Linked DNA regions of Schizosaccharomyces pombe. Changing the gene in region 1 together with any one later gene gives a genetic interaction. Each region holds a gene or a part of one and is shown in the gene's direction. Other genes may lie near its edges.

Region 1 (6,854 bases):
TTTTTCTTTGTGCAAATAAAACATGCAAAGCATTAATAACAATCCTTGAAGGCATGCGCTGACAATATACATCATGTACGTAGTCCAATTAGTACCGGGCAACCTGGATAGTAAATATCCGATCAAAAATCCACCCGGAGTTTGCATCATCATCATTGGGATACTAAGGGCACCATGGCTTTGATGGCGTATAGTTTTTATGATTTGAGGAACATACTGAACGACCGCGCAGAATGAAGCGCTAAATCCAAGGAATGCTGCCCAAGCAAAGTTCGAACTAAGGACGGTTGCGGATAGACAGATGATAAACAATCCCCAAGTAAATACACCAAGTAGCCCATAAGATGCTTTTCGCCATTTACGACTTTTCGTTACACTTAAAGGCTCAGGGATTGGTAAACCATTTTCGTCATCTGCTGCAACAAAGTGAATAGGTCGAGGGAGAAACATCCAGAAAGCCATAAGAACACAACCCATAATAAGTACCTGAGAACCCACTTGAATTAAACCGGTTGTGTTAGCAAAGCATTGCTTTTTGGAATAGTAATTTTGACAGCATTCAGTTAAAGGGCTAATTTGTAGAGCAATGACATTTGAGAACGCATTAAGAACACCTATGTAACCCAAAATAAGGTAAGAAAAACTTAAGCCTTGCGAACTTCCGAGACGAACAATGCGAAAGATTTGTAACAGGTAAGAAATGATGAGGCCTATGATAATATACACTGAAAAGATAAAGCTAGCTTTTGTTGCCAAAGGGCACTTCGGTGGTGTATCATCATCAAAAATGAAACTGCTCGTGCTAAACTCCATCGTTCATACGTACTTCGTCTCCTATAATAAAATCGTAATAAAGAAATGCAATACGAAGTTAATTTCTAATGCTTTGTATAAAAATATATAAATAAACGATGCCTGGGCTGCCAATAATGGTACGATGAAGTAAAGGTTGCTAACTTTGGGGCTTATTGAACAAGCGTCACTAAGGAAAGACAATTTAAAATTTCCTTTTGAAATAATTGGTGTTTAATAAATAAGTAAAAGGAAGAATCGCCAAAAAATTGGATTTTTCATTTAATTTTGTCGAAAATGGGGAAAGGAGAGGCAGTGTAAGCTACATTAGTCGGAGGGCTTAGACACAAAGTTGTGAGCTGTAACGTATAATATTGAAATTTTGCGATATTTAAAGTGCTATAAATTTGACATTGGAGAAAATAAATAAGTAAATAAACAATGAATTATAGAAGAAGATAAAAGGAACTGAATGAATTGTATATCTTAATAAACTAGGTAAATTTTTTTCTCTTTTAAAAACATGAGTGAAATGAAATGGCGCTACACATCTAAAAATTGAAATACATCAAGACACTTTACAAAAAAATTTCTAAATTGAATCTAAAATCAAGTTCTTTTGTTTTTAACCCCATTATCTTTTTAAAGATTCTAAATAATCTAAATTAATCGTTTGAACCAAATTTTTTATAGGATATATAACTACATATTTACTTTTTAAATTCTTTTTCATCTTATCATTAAATTCCGAGATTTTTTATTCCAAACAGCAGCTAATAATTATGAAATAACTTAGTTTTTAATTCTCTTATCTTTCTTGAACTTTTCGTCATATTGCAATAAGGATACAAATAAAAAAAAAATTTATTTTTAAAAGAATCTAAGCTTGAAAAGCCATACTATTTACTCTTTTATTGATTTCGAAAATTATTAAATTAAAACCCACTAACTAACCTGTTATTGTTGACATTAAGTATAAAATTTGACTTGGCTGTTCCGTAGCTAATTGTATCATTAATGAAATGACCGAGTTTGCTAAATTAACTCGAGTATATTTTCCTGTAAAGCTTATATTTTGCTTAAATCTGACTCGTTTAACAGCTAGTTTTATTCAAGTTAACAAACATACATTTTTCGAACAGTTTGGTGCAGTCTGCCAATCTTGAACTTGGTAGCAGACAGGATGCGTAGATTATGAAACATTCTAATAAAATTTCAAATGGAATAAAGCCATTATGTTGAATTTCAAGCTTGTTCTATGGTTTAACTACTTTCCATTTTCCTTCTTTCATCAGCTACTAAACAAAAAAATTACCTTATACTTTACTAATATGCTGAAGCCTTCAATGTTTGGGCATGTGATGCAGTGGTAGCATGCTCGCTTTGCATGCGAGTCGTCCTGGGTTCAATCCCCAGCGTGTCCAATATTTTTTTGTAAACTTAGCTACTCTCAGCAAAAATTAGGCCATTCCAATCGAGAGATTTCTTGTATTATATAGTTTAATGATAATCAAATCTCGATGACTCCTCCTTCCCATGCGATGTGGCGCGTTTTTATCCCAGTTGTCATTCCTTGAAATGTTGTGTATAAAACTATGAGTAGTAAACAAACTGTTGTTACAGCTGTATGTTTTTTAACACCCAAAAACCTATCACTATCAACAACTCAAAGAAAAAGAACCCATCTTTAGGAATGCTTAGTAATTTAAGAACGGTGAGAGTTCATGATTTCTTTTTCAGCGAAAAAGTTGTTTGTTATAGAATTACTTTACCGAGATTAAACTTCGTAAAAGCGAATGAAAAGTAAAACAAGCGAAAGTATATTAAGGATATGCGGCGGGATCTCACTGTAGCACGATAGTCTTTACTCACTACTACCACTATTAAGTACGGTGCTTTTTGATCATCAATAAGCAATTCCGTCTGTATCTAAATTACTTTTGTCTGTGTATATTTAGAAGTCAAAACTTTTTGTCATAATGTCAGAAAATTACTCGTTTTCTTTGCGTAAATTTAAGTTGGTTTTTCTCGGTGAGCAGTCAGTTGGCAAAACATCGTTAATTACACGATTTATGTACGATCAGTTTGATAATACTTATCAAGTAAGTAACTATAATTAAAACTTCTTTACTAACAGGGTCCAAGGCTACTATTGGTATAGACTTTCTAAGCAAGACTATGTATTTGGAAGATCGAACGGTTCGTCTTCAACTATGGGATACTGCTGGTCAAGAACGTTTCCGTTCTTTAATTCCTTCGTATATTAGGGATTCTTCTGTTGCTATTATTGTTTACGATATCACTAGTAAGTAATAGTGGCACAGTAATTTTGCCATATATTTTTACTCAGACTTTATTTTCGAATATCTGCTAACTACTTATAGACCATAACTCTTTTGTAAATACTGAGAAATGGATTGAAGATGTTCGTGCTGAGCGGGGAGACGACGTTATAATTGTTCTCGTTGGTAATAAAACGGACTTGGCTGATAAAAGGTATGACACTCCAGCTAACAGAGATTCAGCATTTACAATGCGACATCTCTTCATTCATAATTCCAAAGCTATATTTTGGTTTTTGATGGTTCTTATGCTAACGGTGGTTTAGGCAAGTGACTCAAGAAGAAGGAGAAAAAAAGGCAAAAGAATTAAAAATAATGCACATGGAAACTAGTGCTAAAGCGGGTCACAATGTAAAACTGTTGTTTAGGAAAATTGCACAAATGTTACCAGGCATGGAGAATGTGGAAACACAAAGCACTCAAATGATTGACGTTAGCATTCAGCCTAACGAGAATGAAAGCAGCTGCAATTGCTAGTGTATCTCATTGAACATGTCAGTGTACTCTAACTGTTTCGTGAATTATTTTTTTTCGCTTCAGGCCGCAATCAGCGGTTTTTAATGTCATTTGACCCTCAAAAAGTATACTGTGAGTATATATATATCTTCTTATAGCCCCTAAATCTTTTGCACCTTTAAAGAATCGCGATTCCTTTTATACCTGTTTCCTTTTCCTTCTTTTTTTACTTGTTTTAGTCCTTTTTTATTTTAATCCTGTCTCTATGATATATGCTTTACAAAAGTGAGAAGTTGAATTTCTGAATAAGTCTCTTTCGTTTAATCCCTGCGGTGCTTCTTGACTTTTCAAGGGCATTTGCAAAGAAGGAAAAAAATTACAATGTATGATTTTGGAATTCAGAGAAATGTTATTATTTTTTTTTTTTTAGATTTCGCTTTTTCCCTTTACTCATAAGTTATTTATGCTATGTGAGTCAGTTCAAGGTTTTCATTGAAACAGTAGAACTTTATTTATACTTCAATTTTTTAATTTTATTAAAAGATATGAGGTTTTTTGCCAAAAAAAATTGAATGAACCAAAAAAAAGTTAGCGGATATAACCTCTAGGCCTGCTTTGAATTTATGTTAAGATATTTGTTTATATCAAACTCTGAAAGACTCGGTAACGTCTCACATTGAGAATCAACAATCTCATTCAGCTGATCCCCTACCAAGTTTTTGATGGCAGCATCTGGAACCCAAATGACATGCATTCCTGCAGCCTTTGCACTTTTGACACCGGGAATACTGTCTTCAAAGGCAATGCATTGGCTTGGTGTAAGTGCCTTCAAACCTCGCTGCTTCCTACTTTCATTTATTAAATTCAACACCTTCAGCCAAATGTCTGGAAAAGGTTTGCCACGACCAGGTGCAATACTAGGATTATCACCTGTAATAACATTTTTACCAAATTTCTCAAAAATATGTTTAAGATGGGCTGTCTTCATATTATAATTTGCGGTATTAGAGGAAGTAGCAAGCTGGTGATGCTGTTAGCACACTTTTATTATAGCGTAGGGATGAGTACATACCCCGATATCAATTCCATGATTGGAGAGGTTATTAATCAAAGATTCAGCCCCAGGCATAGGCTTCAAAGACGACCAAAACTTTGCCTTTCAGAAAGTTAGTTGAAATGGAAATAAATGTAGCGTATAAGTACGTACCCGAATAACCTGTTGTTCATCAACGAATTGTTGAGGAGTCATAGGAATGTTGGACCAATCTATAACAACCTTGGCAGCTGCGGAACCCGGTCTCCCTACGTATCGCAAGTTAGACCTGCAATTTTGAAAGCATTTTAAAATATCTCTTCGCTAGCTTTATATAACATACCCATCATTTGAGCCTTAACAGAAATAGGAAGAGGATCCTTGCCATACCTGTCCAATATAAGATCTATAAAAAAAATAAAGATTAGAAAACATTGTAGTTTTGTGCTAAATATAAGCACAGATATATTATTTACATACTGGTCGTCTTTGTATAAATAGTTTCACTGTCGACAAGTAGACCCTGTAAAAAGAGTGATTGTTAATGCAAAAGCTTTCATAAGAGGTAATGTGGTGTGAAAAATAAACATACATCCATATCGAATAGACAAGCCATGTATTTTACGTGTTTAGCAGCCATTTCTAGGTAAAAAGATAGTGAAGCTTCTACGACCTAACAAAACCAAAGAAAAAAAAAAGCAGAAAAAAAACTTCCGGGATATCCAAAAAATCAAGTTTCAAAAAAGTATATTGCTGTATAACCAATAAAAAAGTATAAAATCTTCCAAAACAAGAATTAACAATTAAATATACAAATACAATTAAAGAAAACAAAGACACCGACAAATGAAGTGTTAACTGTATATCTAATTAAAAAAATCCGCGAAAAACCAAAAAATAAGGACAGTTGTTAAAGATCAACAAAGAAACGTCGATACAGTAAGGCGTGATAATTAGGCAGAATGAAAAATAGCTAAATCCCAAAACTGTGCAAACTGCAATAAGTAATCAACAATCGTAGATTAGAGTAAATCCGTGTGTCGGATGATTGGGAGCAATATTGAAGAGTTCGTTAATCTGTTTTAGTGAGAATTCAACCGCACTACTGAAAGAGAATTAAGCGTTTATATTAACCATGAAATTGTAATCCGGTTTTAATGATGCCTTAAGCTGTGGTGAATTTTCCTTGTAATTTACTTATCTATATCGCGGTACCCAGGTAGTGTAAGTTAGCGATTGTTTTGGGATATTTTTCTATGAAGGTGATGAATATTTTGACACTGAGATCGTTCATTTCCAAATTGAATAATACTGGTTCTGTTAGGCTCTCATTATATATCAATGAATAATATCCAGCTGACTATAAGCAATGATGAACCTATCCTGTATCATTTATGTACAGTGAATAGAGAAATAAAACATTTGACATATTGCGATGTATAACAGAATTGAACATAGCGAACAGCTCACGCATTATTCTCGAATCAAGCAGGCAATGATTCGCCCAGGAATCTCATACTAAAACATTGTATAAACAGAAGTTGAGGGAAAAGGAAAAGTCTCAATGACCAGCCATTCTCCCTCATGAAGTATGCTATGTTGAATTTTTTTTGTTTTAATTACTCTCTTTGGTTTTTAAAGCGTTTCTGATAAAGCCACTTGGATTCTGTTCATAAAATGGTGACTAATCAGTTAGCTATTGGAACCCATTTTGGCCATGTATTTTGAAAAGAAGAGCTGGTCAGACAAAATTTACAAGTACAATAGCGACGCACGTTAGCCATGTCGTAGAATCGTGTCAACTATAATGTGAAATTGTTGGACCGAGTGTAGAAAAACAGTCAAAGTTTGTTTTAACCAAGGTCACAAGTACCTCACTGTTAGGCGAGTTGGAGGATCTTTGCCGGATGACGAAAAATATGGATATTTAACACAGCAATAAATAACAAATGCAGATTGCCGTGAGGACAGAAAACAAAGATAAAACATTTTTGAAAGTCTCCTCATGCGGCTCCGGTTACATGGGAATTTGTAGGATTTTGTAATGAGTGCGTCGAGCAAAGCAGTTGAAACGAGTGGATTGTTGAAAGAAGCCAAGTGTAAATAAAAAAAAGGGTAAATACAAAAAAATATCACAAGATTCTATAAAGTATCATAAGACTACTGTCTATATTTTTAGTTAAACTGTTTTCATATTTTTTATTATCTATTTTCTTTATTTTCTCTTTATT
Region 2 (7,824 bases), 3.3 Mb from region 1:
TCTTGGTTATCAATCAAAATGCTGGGAAGATTAAAAGATCAATTGAACATGACACTGGCCCAAGGCCAGGAAGAAGCTAAGAATCGACGTAGGCAGTTTCAAGAAGAAGATCAATTAAGAAGAAATAATAAATCTTCTAATAAGCTCTCTCAAAATGAAGAGGACGCGAAAAATATGGACTCCGTCGTACAAAAATTGAATGAACTACAAAATAACGTTGTAGCGTTTCAAAAGCTTCTACAGGAGAAAACTCCGTTGTCAAGTATTCAAGACTTAGAAGGATTCCGTGAATTTATGGAGAATTTAGAGCATCGTTATGAAATGACAGTTAGCGAAGTTAGGAGATTATCGCATGAAGTGAATGATTTACAGACTGATCGGGAGAATTTAAAACATCAGTTCGAGGATCAAATTGAAAAGCTGAACTCTGAAATAAGTAATCAAAACAGTTTAATTCTACAGAAAAAAGATGAGCTAGAAAAGTCAATACAAAGATGCTCGGAACTTGAAGAGAAGATTAATTCGTTGGAAAGTGCACAATCCATTGAGCAGGAGGTTATTTCCAGTTTGAAAGATGATAAAACAGTAGAGACAAAAAATGACGTTCCCGAAGTTTCAAGGCCCTCAACTGATACTATAGGTGTCAGCAGTGCTTTATCAAAGAAGAAGAAGAAAAGGAATCGTAAAAATCAAAAGAAAAAGTCAACTAAACAAAATATAGAAGCGACTACAGAGAATGATGCGCTTTCCGAGTCCATTAGTACGCCTGACATACAAAAGGTAGCACAAAGTGAAGATGTAGATGCAGAACAAGATACAGTTGCCGATAGTAAAGAAGAGGAACGAAGAGACATAGCTAATGATGATTTGATTGTTAATGCCAATGCCAAGGAACCAATGCATCATTTTTCTTTCACTGATTTAGATACATTATTGAACTGGCCGAAATATGTGTTTCATCACCATAAAATACACCTAGCAGATACCATTCCTTTGGTTTTTTTGGATTTGAAACCGAAAGAGTATACCGTAGATTTAGAAACGCCAAAGCTTGTTGAAGAACTTACTAAGCAGTTACATGTTGCCGAAAGTACTTTAAAGGAAAACTCGGAAAAATTTAAGCAGAACTCTGAAAGTTTGAAGTCTAGAGTTGATAACTTAAACGATTATATTACAAAGTTGCAAAACGAAATTGACGAATGCAGAAGAAATTTACTGTGGGCAGAATCGTCATGTGAAACAATACGAGAAGAAAATCAAAAGAATATTAAAAAACTGAACGATGCTGAATCACTCAAAAGTAGGTTACTTCAATCCCGAACGCAGATGCAGACAGAACTTGATTCTTACATCACATCTAATAGTCAGCTTAAAGACGAAATTACTTCTTTGAAACAAACAGTCTCCGAGAGTGAAGCAGAACGGAAAAGACTATTCTCCAGTGCACAGGAAAAGCAACTTCAAATGAAAGAGACGGTAAATAAACTTACCTCATTACAAGAACAAAACAATGAGTTCGACCGTCAACTGAAAGAACAGGAGGAAGATTTGCAAAACAAAGAGGAAGAACTGACTGAACTTCGTAAATTACTCCGTGAACAAACGCAGGATAGTCAGAAATTACGTTTATTAGTTGAGCAATTGGAATTGGAACGTCAAGATTTGAAGCAGGCTGGTGAAAACCATTACTCGAACCTATCTTCTGATTACGAAACTCAGATTAAAAGCTTAGAATCCAGTCTGACTAACTCCCAAGCTGAATGCGTTAGTTTCCAGGAGAAAATTAATGAACTAAATTCTCAAATAGATGAACTGAAACTTAAGTTGAATGAAGCTAATAAAAAGTATCAGGAGCTGGCCATTTCTTTTGAAAACTCCAACGTGAAAACTCAATCAGTTGAGCCCGATAACGGTTTATCGTTGGAGGCCCTGAAGAATGAAAATCAAACACTTCTCAAGAATTTGGAAGATTCGACAGCACGATACGAACACCTGCAAAAGTCATTCAAAAATGTGTTCAATCAACTACGTAAGCAACAACCTTCTAACCATGGGAGAAACAGTTCTGTAAGCCGCTCTTCTTCGTCAGTGGAAGTTAATTCTAAGCATCCTGGCTCGGATGACATGCTAATAGATAAGGAATACACACGCAACATTCTTTTCCAATTTCTCGAACAGAGGGATCGTCGGCCTGAAATTGTGAACTTGCTGTCGATTTTGTTAGATTTGTCTGAAGAACAAAAGCAAAAGCTTTTGTCTGTGAAATATTAATGTGGTAAAATTTTCATTCCGTTTTACTGCTTTTTTCTCTTTCTTTGTATTATTCATCATATTGTTAATGTCCATTACGATGTGGAACATTTGTTTGATTTTGTATGCCGCTTTCCATTCTTGGCAGTGATTTCACGCGATAATATCTTTTGGAAGGGTATGCTATTATAATGTTAATAACGGTCTTTTGCATAGAACCCACGAATTCAAATACGTTTTTTTTTTTTGCGAATAATTAATTAAACCAATCAAGTTCTTTGTCTTGTTTTTGAAATCTTGAACCGAGCTTAGGTCTATTCGATTTATAATTAACTTTTTTCAAACCTCTCATTTAGGGAAATGAATAGGAAATCATGTACCAATGAATGAATTGAAGCCTTATTGTAATTTTATAGCTGATGGCTAATCTATTGTACAATTTGACAATACTTTCGTTAACAAAGCAGAGCATAATTTGCCATTCCTAAAGTAAAAATGGACTAGAAGCTTTTTCCTAGATTACTGCATTCGTTTGACATCTAGTAAATAAAATATCAGCTCCATTATACAATAATATAAGTATCCTTCAATTGATATGCAAGTTGCAAATTAACAAATTGCGAAATTATTATTTAACGAATTAAGTTGTTCCTTTTGTTGCACTTTTTAACGAAAATGGTGGTAGAACATCAGCGTCAACTGTTGATCCTTACGTTCTCAAAGGGTTCAGCATCCTTGGAAATGGTTAAACTCCTTGTCGAATAAGGTGAACTATTCATGTACTTCCTTCATGGAACACCTCAGAGAATACAATTGTCCTCCAGAGCAATACAAATATGTCGAATCCCTAAAGTGTCGTTCTTCGTTGTTTTGACTGAAACCGAGATTTTAATATATCAAATTCGACCCTTGACACTCATATCAAAGATAACAAAGTCTCAGAACTTATTTGAACGTCATGGAAAGAACAAAAAAATAGCTGTTAACTCTGAATACGGAATTATAGCGGTTGCAACTGAAAAGAACTATGTAGCTGTCTATCATTTCACTTTAAATGCTTCCAAGCCTGTACTAACGCCAAGTCCTTATTTAACTCGATACGATGATGGACCTGGCGAAATATTTGGGCCTATAAAGTGTGAAATCCAATACAAGCTTGCTATGCGATATGGAGGTGGGCTTAAATGCCTGGAGATTCAAAGGGACTCCATCGTTTATGCTGCAGATTCTGCACCAATTATTCAGGTTTCAACGCTGGAAACAACTGACCCTAATAAGTTGTGGAAAGTGTCAAGTAAACAGTACGATTTACGAGAAGTCACTTGGTTTCTGGATCATTCTTCTCTCATATCTCGACTCTATTTCGATGTTAAAATCGACACTTTCTTTTGGATGTCAACTGATGGAAGAGTTTATGCCAATATCGGTGTTTCTTCCAACACGAATACGAAAAGTCTGTTTGGCCTTTGCGTACATAACCCTGTAGATTTGAATAAGTCAGATAATGACAAGGACATTAATGAGGACCTGGAATCCAAGCTTAGAGAAAAGAAGGCGACTGTTTTATCTACAAATGCCAGATTTTCTCTTTTATATGTTGGTACCGCCGATGGAACTGTGTATGCTTATGAAATACGAGATTTCGGTCGCCAATATGTTCAAACTCATTCTTTTAAATATTCGGCAAGCTCCGGAAAGGTTAATCATATTGCTACGACAGGTGATGGCCATCAAGTTATGGTTGGATACGATGACGGTTGGGCTACACTGTCTCCTTATCTCAACTTGTGTTGTGCTAGTAGTGAAACTGAATATTTTAATTTTGGGTTATCCTGTGGCTTTTGGGATAGAGATAGTTCTTCCTTTTATGGACTAGGATCTAAAAATTTTTCTTCTACAGGTGAAGCTGAGGGAACGGGATTATCTACTCCGATTATCGCCGAATCCTTAAAAGAAAACGACGAGTTTTTTGCTATGGAAAAAGAGAACGTTGATATCCAGTATTTGTCACAAAACGACAATACAAATGATGTCTTATATAGTATTACGGATTCTAAACAATTTATTAGCACTATTTATATTTTACCTTTTTTAAAGAGCACCATAGTTTCAAGTGTACAAAGCACCTTGCAAGTTTGTGGAGCTCAAACTAGCGATCGGTTATATATTTCGAAGTCATATGAATTTTGTTCTAGCGTTAAAAACAATTTTGGCATTGACTTTTGGGATCAAGTTGAGTATCCTCAACCATATGTTGCTTCTGAATGGCCTATTAGATATGTTTCTATCAAAGATGATGGAAGTTTGATAGCAATCGCTGGGCTTCATGGATTAGCTATATATGTTTGCTCAAAAAAGACCTGGTTCTTATATAAAGATGCCAATATGGAACAATTAATCAGTGTTACTTGTCCAATGATTTGGTGCTCACAATTTTTGCTAGCCGGTGTTGTTTGCGAGTCCAACTTTGAGCTACACCTATACAAAGCAAAAGGGCCTTTAGACGATAGAGAAAACTTGGCTAAATTATCGTTTACTTCAACAATTGTGACAATGTCAGTCTGCGACGAATATTCTTTGGTTGTCTATACAGCTGATAATTTCCTCCATCACATCAGATTCGATATAAACGAATTAGGAAGATTAGAACTCGACTATTTAACATCCGTAAATTTTGCTCCAATATTCACTACTCCATCCAGAGTTCGAAGCATAACGTTATTACTACCAAAAGACCTTGCAAATATTCAACCTTCTGATTTACTTTTTTATGCAGTCCTTCTGGTTCTCATTAATGGAAAACTTGTTTTGTTAAGTCTAAAAAAACAACATTCTAAAGAGCTTTTATATCAGTGCAGCATGCTAGCGGGAGACGTTGAGTTTTACTTTATCAATGGAAGTCAAGAAATCCCTTCATTATTTCATTCTATATGGATCATGACGGGAAAGGGACTTAAGCTATGGTTATCTTTTAGCGAGATCCTTTCCTCTGTTTTGATAAATACTAAAAACCTTATAGATGGCCTTCCAAAGTTTCTCAATACATCAAAAAGAGTATCTCTAGAAAATTTTCATCGTTTATCTGTTGAAGACCTCAGATCGCCCAGCTTTGTCTACAAAAATGGGGTTGATTGTAACTTTGATAACACACATCTTGCTAAATTGATTAAAAATGTAAATATTTCTGAAAAGTTTCAAAAGGAATGTATAGATCTGGAATCTCAGGGATGTTTGCTGACTGTATTAAGCAATTATGGACTTCTATTAACTGCTTATACCCAGGGTCATAAAAACTTAGTTAATAAGATGGAATACGCTCATATCCAAATAGGTGTTTATCCATTCCTTCCGGAAATTGTTCGAGCACTATTACTGTTAGATAAACGTGAGCAAGCTATTGACTTAGTCAAGACATATGGGCACTTGCATTATATCAATTTTGTGTTAGAAAAATTACTTTCTTCATCATTATTGACCTACAACTCATCACAGCGAGATAAATTGCTTTATGAAGTATCCTTATTATTTAAAGACTTGCAAGAGTTTACCACTTTTAAAATCGTTCTGGGTTGCCTGCGAAAAACTGAAGCTGAATACTGGCCGATGATATTTAAGTATTTCGGAGAACCAAAAGACTTAATGAAAAAGTGTTTAGAAACAGAAGATGTTAAAAGTGCCGCAGAGTGTTTGATAATATGGCAGATCCATCAGGGTTCAGCCAGTTGTGCTTCTACCTTTCTAAGTATATACGAAATGGCTTTAAAAATAAAAAACTGGGACGTTTGTACGGAGTTATCTAGCTACCTGGTGAGTCTGGATCCCGAAAAACGTTTACTGAAGACAGCGCTGGAACTTCTCGATGAAGGGCCTGATTCCAAGGACATTCGTCTTTACGATCAATTTAACAATTTGATGAAAGAAGTGGATAAATATTAACCACAGTATATGTCATGATCAAAACTAAATTATTAAAGCAATTATCAAAGTAAAAAAAGAGGTTCAAAGCTGAATAAGCATAAAAGGTTTTAGCTTCAATGATGATTAGAAGTTTGAAAATTACGCTCTTAGATAAAAGGAGCTGATGCTTCGGGAAAAATCTAAAAACGTAAAAGTTCATTCTAGTAAAAACTGTCATAGCTATAATGTAAATAAAATTTTTTGCCTTGGTGATTATGGGACTTCGAAGAATCGGGTGAACTTCTATTGTTAATGAAGATTAAGCAAAATGCCTTTAAGTTATTGCCAGTTTATTTTTTGATTCAGCTTCGGCTCCCTGTAAACGCTTTTTTTGCTTTTCTTTGTATACATCTTGTTTTTTAAAGGTAGCAGAATAGCTATGTACTTTGAAACCAAAAATACGTGGAATGTAGCGTTCTTGAGATTTAGGGACCGCAAGTTCAGGGTATACCTGAAAAAGCATGTGAGGGAATGAGGTTCCAAAATATGCACCATCAATGGATGCATGTCTTTGTGATTTTGGTGTGTACACATCCTCACACCGAGGACAGTATAATTTAACGGATTTTGTATGGGCAATATCCGACAAGCCGACGGGCAACATTGGCTGTCCGTTGCATAAAACTCTAGGGCAATGCCCAAAGTCACATTTTTTGTATTTCTCAAGCTAGAAAGGATGTTAGTCAAAATCCAAAGCTAATTAAAACGAAATAGTACGGTATGACATAAATGTAATAAAATTGAAGAATTGAAAGATAAGTCAAGTTACACACTTAGTGTCCATTATACTTGTCTAATGCCTGTTTTGTTCACGAAGATTGTATCCAAACTTAAAAACAGGAAACTAGAAGTTTACAAACATAATTGCTTACCATTTTATATAAACCCTGAGCCGTTAAGATATAACGGGCGTGAATAAGGCCGTACAAATGACGAGCACTAGCTTCTACCTCATCTTGTACTTCCTCTGGTAAATCAGGATCCAATACATCTAAAATGAGGTCTAAAGACTGGGAGTAGTGTGGAACTTCATGACTCAATCCAGTCAAATTAAAGCGATCCTGGATGAAGTCTTCGTCGACTTCGCAAAAAAATTCGTTTCCTTTTAGTCCTAAAAACCAATCAACCCAATATTGAGAATCATCGGATTCACTGCAATTAATGATTAATAAACGGTCCAATATGGCCAAAATGTAAAATATTTTTTTATTTAACCCTAATTTGCACAAACCTTTCCGAAGAGTATAGCTGCATGCTTCGTTCCGATTTACGTTGAAAAGCTGCACCAAAAATCCTAATTGCTTAATGCAAAATTTGATTTCCGTTTCAGCCTTAGCAGCTTCTAATATATGGAAAATTTGAAGAGAAGTACGTTGTCGTATCGTAGTCTTTCTGGAGCTCCGGTGTTTTCCTTCATTCTACACTAAAGGAATGAAAAACTAATTAGCGTGTTACTAGAAATTCAATTTGCTGCACTTCGGTATGTTATCTAGCACTTAAACGTTTATGCACTGGGATGCACTATAGTAGCACAATAGTTCATTCTATTAAAACTGCTTTAGCAACAAAAATGAAATATTTAGCGTTCCATCTGCTACAAAGCAACTTCTATTTTGT
Region 3 (9,922 bases), on another chromosome or scaffold:
TTATGTTCCACTACGACAACGGGAGCATACGGAATGATGAGGAACCCAAGACAATGCTAAAACCACCTTCTTATACGTTGTATCTCATAAAAGTATTATAGCGTTTTGCATTACGTCAATCACTAAACAATCATCATTCCATTTTTTTGGCTGCTTCGGTTCCGTAACGAATTGCACTAAGTGCTTTTGTTTTCCCAGCTCATCTTAGTTATCCTTTACCAACATTTTCTTTGTCCTATTTTTTAGGCCATTAACGTGTCCTCTCTCCGTTTGCTGGTCGCCTATCTTTTGCTTTGTGTGTTCCTAGCTTTTTCATTTTCTCATTTTTCATTTTAATTAATCATGAAGGCCTGGCTACAATCTAGGTAAGTACAACTGGACATTTGGATTCGATCGCTGCCGAGTGCTTTTTTCTTCGTTTCAGCGAGGATTTGTAATTCAAACGCAAAAGAATGGATTTATACAGTGATTTACAATGTGTATGTTCAATTTTTGGTACTCTTTGGCTTGATTAGAGGTTGTAAAAATATGGACCCCTAAAAACGGATCGAGTGTTTGTCCTATGAATAAAAACGGTAATATAATCGACTAATAATTGGATATCGATATGTATTCACTGACATTTCCTTCATGTTTTCGATTATTTTTTTTGTCTTAAAAATTTTTTTTTAAATTCGATGAGCAAAAAACAAAATTCTTTTTTCTTTTCCGTTTTTTTCATCTATCAGACATCTGCTATTTGAATCCATTTTTTTCGTGTTGTCTTACAAAACATTCAGTTGTCTATTCTAATAACTTGTTTTTACTGTTTTTTATTATTTCTAACTCGATTTTAGCATATCCTACTATACTGGCACAGCGGAACCCGTTTATGGTCCTGAGGCTATCCAACCCGTCACTGCATCCGTTCAGGGCATTAATCCTTTCCATAGGCTTGAAGCCGACGACTTCAAATGGAGCACTCCCTCTTCCAGCCATGTGGAAACGCAAGTCTTTTATATCAAGCCAAATGAGGGTGACTATATGTGCTTTGTTCAATTGATACATTCCAACTTGGGTTCTTGGACAACCACCGCTCAATCTACGTGTCGCATTTTCGATTTGAAGCATCCTGAAAACGATTTGTGGACTTCTACCAACATGGATCAATTTAGCTTTGAAAATGACAAAACCTCCTTTGTCGCCAAAAATTGCTCTGTCGTGTTGGAAGACCAAAAGCGTTACCGAATTCGTGCCTCCATCAACATGGACTCCATCATCGATATAACTGTCCATCAAGACGCTCCTCCTTTTAAAATCGGTGAAGATGGAAATTCTACTTATGGAACAGATCCTAGTAAGCCCTGGGCTTCCATGAAGCATACCTTTTGGCCTCGCACTCGTGTTGAAGGTAGCATCGTTGCAAGGGGTAGAGTTGTGGATGTCACTGGTCCCGGCATGTTTGTTCATGCACTCCAAAATGGCAAACCCCACCATCTTGCTTCATCTTGGGAGTTTGCCCTCTTGCAGCATAAAAAGTTTACCGCCATCATGATGCAGTTCAAGACACCCCCTAGCTATGGTTCTACTATTGTCAATATTGGTGGTATCGCTATGAAAGACAAAATTATTAGTGCAACTGTCGATAATACTATTGAGCACGTTGAGACCACACTCGATCCCGATACGGAATGGCATGAACCCACTCGCATTTCCTACGAATGGGACGGAAAGGATGCTGAAACATACACCGAAGATATTCATCTTTCAGTCGATGCTCCTTTGGGAAGACGTCTTCAACGCATCGACGTTCTTGCCGAGATACCATCTTGGCTTAAGGGTTTCGTCCATGGAGTCTCTGGAACGAAACCTTTCATCTACCAATATTTCTCACCTGTCAAATTTACACTGAAGATGGGTGACGAGGTTATTGAAGATGAAGCCACGCTTTTTAATGAGACTACTTTTATTTCATAAGCATCTTTTAACAAAAATATTCAAGCATAAATAATTCGATGCATTTTGGGCTTAAACAAAGAGTGAACGTGCATCCATCTTTTTTTCAGAGCTTTTCTATATTAAACTCTCTGGTTTTGTATTCTTTTTTTCCTTTTTTTTGTCCTGTTGTTTTTAATTTCGTGTCTTCGAATTTTTTTTTCATACTATTTTTCGTTTTATTAAAATAACTTCATATAGACTTATCACTTATACTCTGAACTTGATAGTTGTGCTGCTCTCATATTGAATATGATTCTTGTTAATGGTCTTGTGCTACAAGCTCTGAAATTCATTCGTTCTCTTGTTTGTGTACTAAATCGATCTTGTCATCCTAATACCTATACTGATGGACATGGGCAAGGCATCTGGCAAAATTGTGCATTCGCTTATGTTTATTGAAAGACTGCAGTCTGTGTAAACGAGCGAGAATGTTTTAAAATTTTTTAAAAATTTGAATACTTTTCATTTTAGAGACTTCAAATAATATTGTTTTCATCATTAAGTGGATACTAATTAGCAACTTCTCAACTTCTATTTTATTTAAAAAACTAATTCATTGTAAATGTTGTATTGGTTTTCTACGAAAGCAGTTTTTCTATTATTGATAATTTCGCTTTTACCACTTTATAATAAAAAAGTATTGTATGTTTAATGTTTTCTAATATTTTTTTAATAAGTTTTCCTATGTTCCGATAAGAGCAGGCAGTGAACGCGTAAACAGATATATATGTATGTATTTATTATTAAAATATTATGTAAATAATTCTTAAAAAACCGAATCATTCTAGCATAAAGCATTGGAAACCAGTAATTCAACGTAACTGAATTTCACGGATTTACAAGCAAGTCGTACAGTCCTTTCTTCATTCAATAATATTGATTTAATAATAATATGTATATGCAATTTTCCTTTTTTTTTTTTTTTTTTTTTTAAACATTTTAAAATAAAGCATAGGCGTTTAATCATTTTTTATTAAAGTGCGTAACTTATGTTGTAAAAAACTACCACCTACTTTTCTCTTAAAACACCAGAATCTATAAGTGTAATGATTCCCCTTAACAACGAATTTAGAAGCTATCAATAGTATTGCGTCTGTTTTTATCAATCTCACAAACAATTATAGGAAGTATTCTGCTCGTGTGATTGTTCTTTTTCTTCTGGTAAAGATGAACATATGCATGTTTATTTGAATAGCTTAGGATTCATTATTTTTTAAGAGACAAATTTCTCGTCAATTGAATGAAACCTTCCGCCTTTATTTTCTTTTTGAATGGATATTTCAAGTTTTCTACTTCCTCAACTTTTACGTAAATATCAACAAGATGTGTATAATATCGCGAGCAAGCAAAATACTTTACTTGTTATGAGAACGGGCGCTGGTAAGACATTACTTGCTGTGAAGTTGATAAAACAAAAGCTCGAGGAGCAAATTTTAATCCAAGAATCAAATCTTGAACATAAAAAAATATCAGTTTTTCTCGTCAACAAAGTCCCTTTGGTATTTCAACAAGCGGAATACATTCGATCTCAACTACCGGCTAAGGTTGGCATGTTTTATGGCGAATTATCTATAGAAATGAGCGAGCAGTTGTTGACTAATATTATATTGAAGTATAATGTGATTGTTATTACTGCAGATTTGTTCTATTTGTTTCTTGCAAGAGGTTTTCTTTCAATAAATGATTTGAATTTAATTATATTCGACGAATGTCATCATGCAATTGGAAATGATGCGTATGCTCGCATCATGAATGATTTTTATCACAGAGCCAAAGCAGTATTGTCAAAAAAACATTTCACCCTACCAAGAATTTTTGGTATGACTGCTTCACCATTCACTGGAAAAAAAGGAAACTTATACCATCGACTGTATCAATGGGAGCAATTATTTGATTCTAAAGCACACGTGGTTTCGGAAAACGAGCTAGCCGATTACTTCTGTCTTCCCGAAGAAAGCTATGTAATGTATTCCAATAAGTTGGTTGTGCCACCCTCGGATTCTATTATCAAGAAATGCGAGGAAACTCTTCAAGGATGCAAGTTAATTTCTCGGGCTGTTAAGACTGCTTTAGCAGAAACCATAGATATGGGTCTTTGGTTTGGGGAGCAAGTTTGGTTATATTTGGTTGATTTTGTGGAAACGAAAAGATTAAAAAAAAAGGCTTTAGGGAAGCAGTTGTCAGATGACGAGGAACTGGCAATTGACCGGTTAAAAATATTTGTTGAAGATTGGAAAAATAACAAATATTCAGACAATGGCCCTAGAATCCCTGTTTTTGATTCCACTGATGTTACTGATAAAGTCTTTAAACTCTTAGAATTGTTAAAGGCTACTTACCGCAAAAGTGATAGCGTTCGTACGGTTATTTTCGTTGAAAGAAAAGCTACGGCGTTTACTTTAAGTTTGTTTATGAAAACTCTTAATCTGCCTAACATCCGCGCTCATTCTTTTATAGGACATGGACCGTCCGATCAGGGTGAATTTTCTATGACATTCAGGAGGCAAAAAGATACCCTTCATAAGTTTAAGACTGGAAAATATAATGTTTTAATTGCTACTGCAGTTGCAGAAGAAGGTATCGATGTACCATCATGTAACTTAGTTATACGCTTCAATATTTGTCGGACTGTCACCCAGTATGTCCAATCTCGAGGTAGAGCGAGAGCAATGGCTTCAAAGTTTCTAATTTTTTTAAACACAGAAGAGTTGTTAATTCATGAACGCATTCTACACGAAGAAAAAAATCTTAAATTTGCCCTTTCAGAGCTCAGCAATTCGAATATTTTTGATTCATTGGTATGTGAGGAAAGAGAACGTGTGACTGATGATATCGTCTATGAAGTTGGCGAGACTGGTGCTTTACTCACAGGGTTGTATGCAGTTAGTCTGCTTTATAACTTTTGTAACACACTTTCAAGAGACGTATACACAAGATATTATCCCACTTTTACAGCTCAACCCTGTCTTTCAGGTTGGTATTGTTTTGAGGTAGAATTGCCAAAAGCCTGCAAAGTTCCAGCGGCTCAAGGATCTCCCGCTAAATCAATTAGGAAAGCCAAACAGAATGCTGCGTTCATCATGTGTTTGGATCTGATTCGTATGGGTCTTATAGACAAACATTTAAAACCCCTAGATTTTAGAAGAAAAATTGCCGACCTTGAAACTCTTGAGGAAGACGAGCTAAAAGATGAAGGTTATATCGAGACATATGAGCGCTATGTACCAAAAAGTTGGATGAAAGTTCCTGAAGATATTACACGTTGCTTCGTCTCTTTACTTTATACTGATGCTAATGAAGGAGACAATCATATATTCCATCCCTTAGTGTTTGTACAAGCTCATTCATTCCCCAAAATTGATAGCTTTATTCTTAATTCGACTGTTGGCCCCCGAGTTAAAATTGTTTTAGAAACGATTGAGGATAGTTTTAAGATCGATTCTCATCTGCTTGAGTTGTTAAAAAAATCAACTCGTTATCTACTTCAATTCGGTTTATCTACTTCTCTTGAGCAACAAATACCTACTCCTTACTGGCTTGCGCCTTTAAATTTGTCATGCACGGATTACCGGTTCTTAGAAAATCTGATAGATGTTGACACTATCCAAAATTTTTTTAAATTACCGGAACCTGTTCAAAATGTTACTGATTTGCAATCCGATACTGTATTATTAGTAAATCCACAGTCAATATATGAACAGTATGCTTTTGAGGGATTTGTCAATTCTGAATTTATGATTCCTGCTAAAAAGAAAGATAAGGCCCCTTCTGCCTTATGTAAGAAACTTCCTTTACGATTAAATTATTCACTTTGGGGCAATAGAGCTAAATCCATTCCCAAATCACAGCAAGTGCGCAGTTTTTATATCAATGACCTCTATATTCTCCCAGTCTCTAGACATTTGAAAAACAGCGCCTTGCTAATACCCTCCATACTGTACCATATTGAAAACTTATTGGTCGCCTCTTCTTTTATCGAACACTTTCGACTTGATTGTAAAATTGACACTGCTTGTCAGGCTTTAACATCTGCGGAATCACAATTGAATTTTGATTACGATCGTCTAGAGTTTTACGGAGACTGCTTTCTAAAATTGGGTGCTTCTATTACAGTTTTTTTGAAATTTCCTGATACTCAAGAGTACCAACTGCATTTTAATCGAAAGAAAATTATTAGCAACTGTAATTTGTATAAAGTAGCAATAGATTGTGAGTTGCCGAAGTATGCTCTCTCGACTCCCTTGGAAATCCGTCATTGGTGTCCATATGGTTTTCAGAAAAGCACATCGGATAAGTGCCGCTACGCCGTTTTACAGAAATTATCGGTTAAGAGGATAGCAGATATGGTCGAAGCTAGTATCGGTGCATGTCTTTTAGACAGTGGACTTGACTCAGCACTCAAGATCTGTAAATCTTTAAGCGTTGGTCTGCTGGATATCAGCAATTGGGATGAGTGGAACAATTATTTTGATTTAAATACATATGCGGATTCACTGAGAAATGTTCAATTCCCTTACTCCTCGTATATAGAGGAAACTATTGGATATTCATTTAAAAACAAGAAACTACTCCATTTGGCATTTATTCATCCTTCCATGATGTCTCAGCAAGGTATTTACGAAAACTATCAACAGTTGGAGTTTTTGGGTGATGCTGTATTGGATTACATTATCGTACAATACCTTTATAAAAAGTATCCTAACGCAACTTCTGGCGAATTAACTGATTACAAATCTTTTTATGTGTGTAACAAGAGTCTATCATACATTGGCTTTGTTTTGAATTTGCACAAATATATCCAACATGAAAGCGCAGCAATGTGTGATGCAATATTTGAATATCAAGAATTAATTGAAGCGTTCAGGGAGACTGCTTCAGAGAATCCGTGGTTCTGGTTTGAAATTGATTCACCAAAGTTCATTTCAGATACTTTAGAAGCTATGATATGTGCCATTTTTTTGGATTCTGGGTTTAGTTTACAATCTCTACAATTCGTTTTACCTCTTTTTCTTAATTCGTTAGGGGATGCGACACATACTAAGGCTAAAGGAGATATTGAACACAAGGTATACCAATTACTGAAAGATCAGGGATGTGAAGACTTCGGAACAAAGTGTGTCATCGAGGAGGTGAAATCCAGTCACAAAACATTGTTAAATACTGAACTCCATTTAACAAAGTATTATGGGTTTTCATTCTTCCGCCACGGGAATATTGTTGCTTACGGCAAATCCCGTAAAGTTGCCAATGCAAAGTATATTATGAAACAAAGACTTCTCAAATTGTTAGAGGATAAGTCTAACTTACTTTTGTATTCTTGTAATTGCAAATTTAGTAAGAAAAAGCCATCAGATGAGCAAATAAAAGGAGATGGAAAAGTTAAAAGTTTGACTTGAGACTTGAAATATACAGTATTTCATTTTTTATGACCGCGGCCCTTGTAACTTTTCAAACTTTCAATTTGGGTCTCCAAAGCACGGATCCTTTCGTGATATTCAGAAAGTTCCGAATTCAAAGCATCTCGAGTTTCAATCATTTTCTCTTCTTTGGCCTGAAAGAAGCTTTCAGTTTCATTAGTCATTTGTGTTATCTTTTGTTGAATCGCACGTTTCTCATTGTTCAAGCGTTCGTAATGCTCTTTTTTCAGCTTAGGAATGCCACTCTTTCGATTCGTAAGCTGCTCTCTACGATATCGTTCATAGATGTTGGTTTCAGTTGTATTTATAAGCTCGAGCATATGCCTATTAATTAGCAATTTCTTCAATTTTAAAAAATCACAATGTGTTTCTTCATATATTTCAGAGGTTCCCCATGGGTAACGACGCCCTTGCGATTTTTCCCCATCGTCTTTGCAAACTTCATTTACACTGGAAATGATAGCGTAAGGTAAGGATGAATCTAGTAATTCGGCAGTTTCGTAATCAGAATACTCTGTTGATGGATGGAAAACGTCGATTGATTGAGCTTCCAGGATCCTTCTAATTTTTTGCTTTATTTGTGTTAATTCGGGAGTTGTAAATGTATCTGCCTTTGCTATTACTGGCACAAGGTTTACATGGGTCGATAGCTCCTTCATAGCTAACACATCTAAAGGAAGCATTCCAAACGAAACTGGCGTAATAAAGTAGAGACAAACGTGGACTCTAGTGTCTTTCCTTGGTACACGGAGAGAGTTTTGATCATGAATTAGATACCTTTCGTGTTGTTCGTCTAAATATTCTGCAACCGTATTCCAGCAACTGGTATTGTCAATGAAATCACCGAACCCTGGGGTGTCGAGCACCGTAAGATTGATATGAAAACCATCTTCTTCAATTACGGCCTTATTCTTTTTAACTTCTAAGGTCTTTTTGGCTATGGTCTCCTTAGCCGTTTCATATGATTTTTCTGGTTGCAAAGAAGTAGCAAAAAGAGTATTGAAGAACGTTGTTTTTCCAGTACCTGAGGCTCCGCAAAGCATGATTGTTAAACCACATTCTTTTCTTTTTATTAAATTTTCTCTGTGGTATATTTGTTAATGAATGATTTATGAATTTATGACTAGATTGTAACGATAACATACCTTTTGGATGGTAGACTATCCAAATTTAATAATAATTGAAGGTTTTCAGTCAAAGACATCGTAAAAATTTATTTCTCGAACTATCTGTATTTTGCTCTTTAGTAGGTTCAGGTTTGTTTCAAACAGCGTTTATCAGCGAAATATAAACAAACAACCGAATGTCCAGTGATAAAAAGCACAGATAAATAAATAAATATGCCTCATCAAAAATTTTTAAATATACAAATTAAATTATCTACATAGAAGACTTTTAATTCTTTTTCACATCTTGTACCAAAATACTTTCATAATCCTGGTTTACCAGAGTTGAAACAAGAATACAAATAAAAACGATGCTCAAATTTACTAGCTCTTTAATCATTAGAAGAATAAACATTAATTTTTAAGACTAAATATGAACTTCTGTTGAATTAACTGCCTTGATCCAAAAAAAACACAAAACGTAAATTGTACTTTTTTTTATTTTTAAGACAGTCATATTCCAATGAATAAAACCATACAATAATGTACATTTTCTTTGACAGTGTCAAGGATCGAATAGAATTAAGTTTTCTTTGAAGAAACATTATTCAAAAAAGTATCTACACCAAAAGGATCAGCAATATCTTTCTCGAAAGTGACGGGGCCAGCACGAGACTAAGAAAAGTTAGTATTTAAGTAAAAGTATAAGATATTGAAACATACCTCTACGACTTCATCCGATCCTTTGAACTTTTTATGCGCATTTCCTAGTACATCATAACGACTTTCACTAGTAATACGTTCCAATTCTGCAGATGCATCAACTTGACGGGACAAAGTAGCACCCGGTCTATATAACGTTGATGAAGGTGCCGCCCGCCACGGTTTATCATACACATTGTAACTGTCTTCGTCTTGAAATCCGGATCCTAAGCCAGAAGCCTGATTAAATAATCTACTATCGATCATTGTATCGCTTGACATTGATGGTTTTGAAAGTCCTAAAGCAACCCTTTCAGCGACATCACGAGGTCGATCTTTTTCAGCAAGCTTAGCACGTTTTTCAGCACCCATTCGACTGAGACGAAGATCCTTTTCAGCTTGGCGTCTTCGCTCGCGGCGAAGTTCTTGACGACGGCGAAAAGCTTCTGAATCCTCATCTTCATTTTCTGACTCTGAATGATGCGAGAACGATCCAGCTCTGGAACGACTTCTTTCTTCAGAGGAGACAGAAGTAGAGCGGGGTTTTGCATGTGAAGGACCCGAAGAAGCCGCATTTCTACCCATACGATCTTCCCTTGCTTTTTGAGCAAGCATAAATAAACGTTGCTCCTTTTCCTGCTTTTCCTTTTCAGCCATCTTTTGGCGCATTATGGCACGATATCGGACCTCTTCACGAGCTTGACGCTCCACCGTGTACAA

Evidence for each region. A genetic interaction does not mean that the proteins touch.
Region 2: of ryh1 (region 1) and ric1, extra expression of one rescues a mutant of the other (dosage rescue), as found in Schizosaccharomyces pombe (2 studies listed by BioGRID).
Region 3: mutations in ryh1 (region 1) and dcr1 together harm fitness more than expected from each alone (negative genetic interaction), as found in Schizosaccharomyces pombe (3 studies listed by BioGRID, with this or other methods).

What each region holds. Positions count from the first base shown.
Region 1 is NC_003424.3:1,190,954-1,197,807, reverse strand, and holds ryh1 (Rab family GTPase Ryh1), read left to right. Parts: upstream 1-2,662; 5' UTR 2,663-2,771; coding exon 2,772-2,894; exon of another isoform or gene 2,895-2,937; coding exon 2,938-3,097; intron 3,098-3,174; exon of another isoform or gene 3,175-3,176; coding exon 3,177-3,288; exon of another isoform or gene 3,289-3,400; coding exon 3,401-3,611; 3' UTR 3,612-4,194; coding exon of another isoform or gene 4,195-4,611; 3' UTR 4,612-4,662; coding exon of another isoform or gene 4,663-4,746; 3' UTR 4,747-4,797; coding exon of another isoform or gene 4,798-4,892; 3' UTR 4,893-4,966; coding exon of another isoform or gene 4,967-5,029; 3' UTR 5,030-5,103; downstream 5,104-6,854. Other genes in the region: SPOM_SPAC4C5.03 (multispanning membrane protein, CTNS/PQ domain protein), read right to left, coding at 1-813; pseudouridine-5'-phosphatase Pud1, read right to left, coding at 4,195-4,611, 4,663-4,746, 4,798-4,892, 4,967-5,029, 5,104-5,146, 5,216-5,263. UniProt on the Schizosaccharomyces pombe protein: Has a role in retrograde traffricking of proteins from the endosome to the Golgi. Involved in protein transport to the plasma membrane. Involved in the secretory pathway where it has a role in acid phosphatase secretion.
Region 2 is NC_003424.3:4,502,045-4,509,868, reverse strand, and holds ric1 (Rab-specific(Ryh1/Ypt6) Ric1-Rgp1 guanyl-nucleotide exchange factor subunit Ric1/Sat4), read left to right. Parts: upstream 1-2,987; 5' UTR 2,988-3,027; coding exon 3,028-6,186; 3' UTR 6,187-6,383; downstream 6,384-7,824. Other genes in the region: grp1 (GRIP domain-containing protein), read left to right, coding at 19-2,271; CK2 family regulatory subunit Ckb1, read right to left, coding at 6,482-6,874, 7,080-7,359, 7,439-7,461. UniProt on the Schizosaccharomyces pombe protein: Probable component of a guanine nucleotide exchange factor (GEF) that may be required for efficient fusion of endosome-derived vesicles with the Golgi.
Region 3 is NC_003421.2:1,503,617-1,513,538, reverse strand, and holds dcr1 (dicer), read left to right. Parts: upstream 1-2,981; 5' UTR 2,982-3,248; coding exon 3,249-7,373; 3' UTR 7,374-7,393; coding exon of another isoform or gene 7,394-8,477; 3' UTR 8,478-8,539; downstream 8,540-9,922. Other genes in the region: ER to Golgi ceramide transport protein, lipocalin superfamily Svf1, read left to right, coding at 343-365, 837-1,956; septin Spn6, read right to left, coding at 7,394-8,477, 8,540-8,598; Prp19 complex subunit Prp45, read right to left, coding at 9,083-9,175, 9,224-9,922. UniProt on the Schizosaccharomyces pombe protein: Required for G1 arrest and mating in response to nitrogen starvation. Ago1 regulation of cytokinesis and cell cycle checkpoints occurs downstream of dcr1. Required, indirectly, for regulated hyperphosphorylation of cdc2.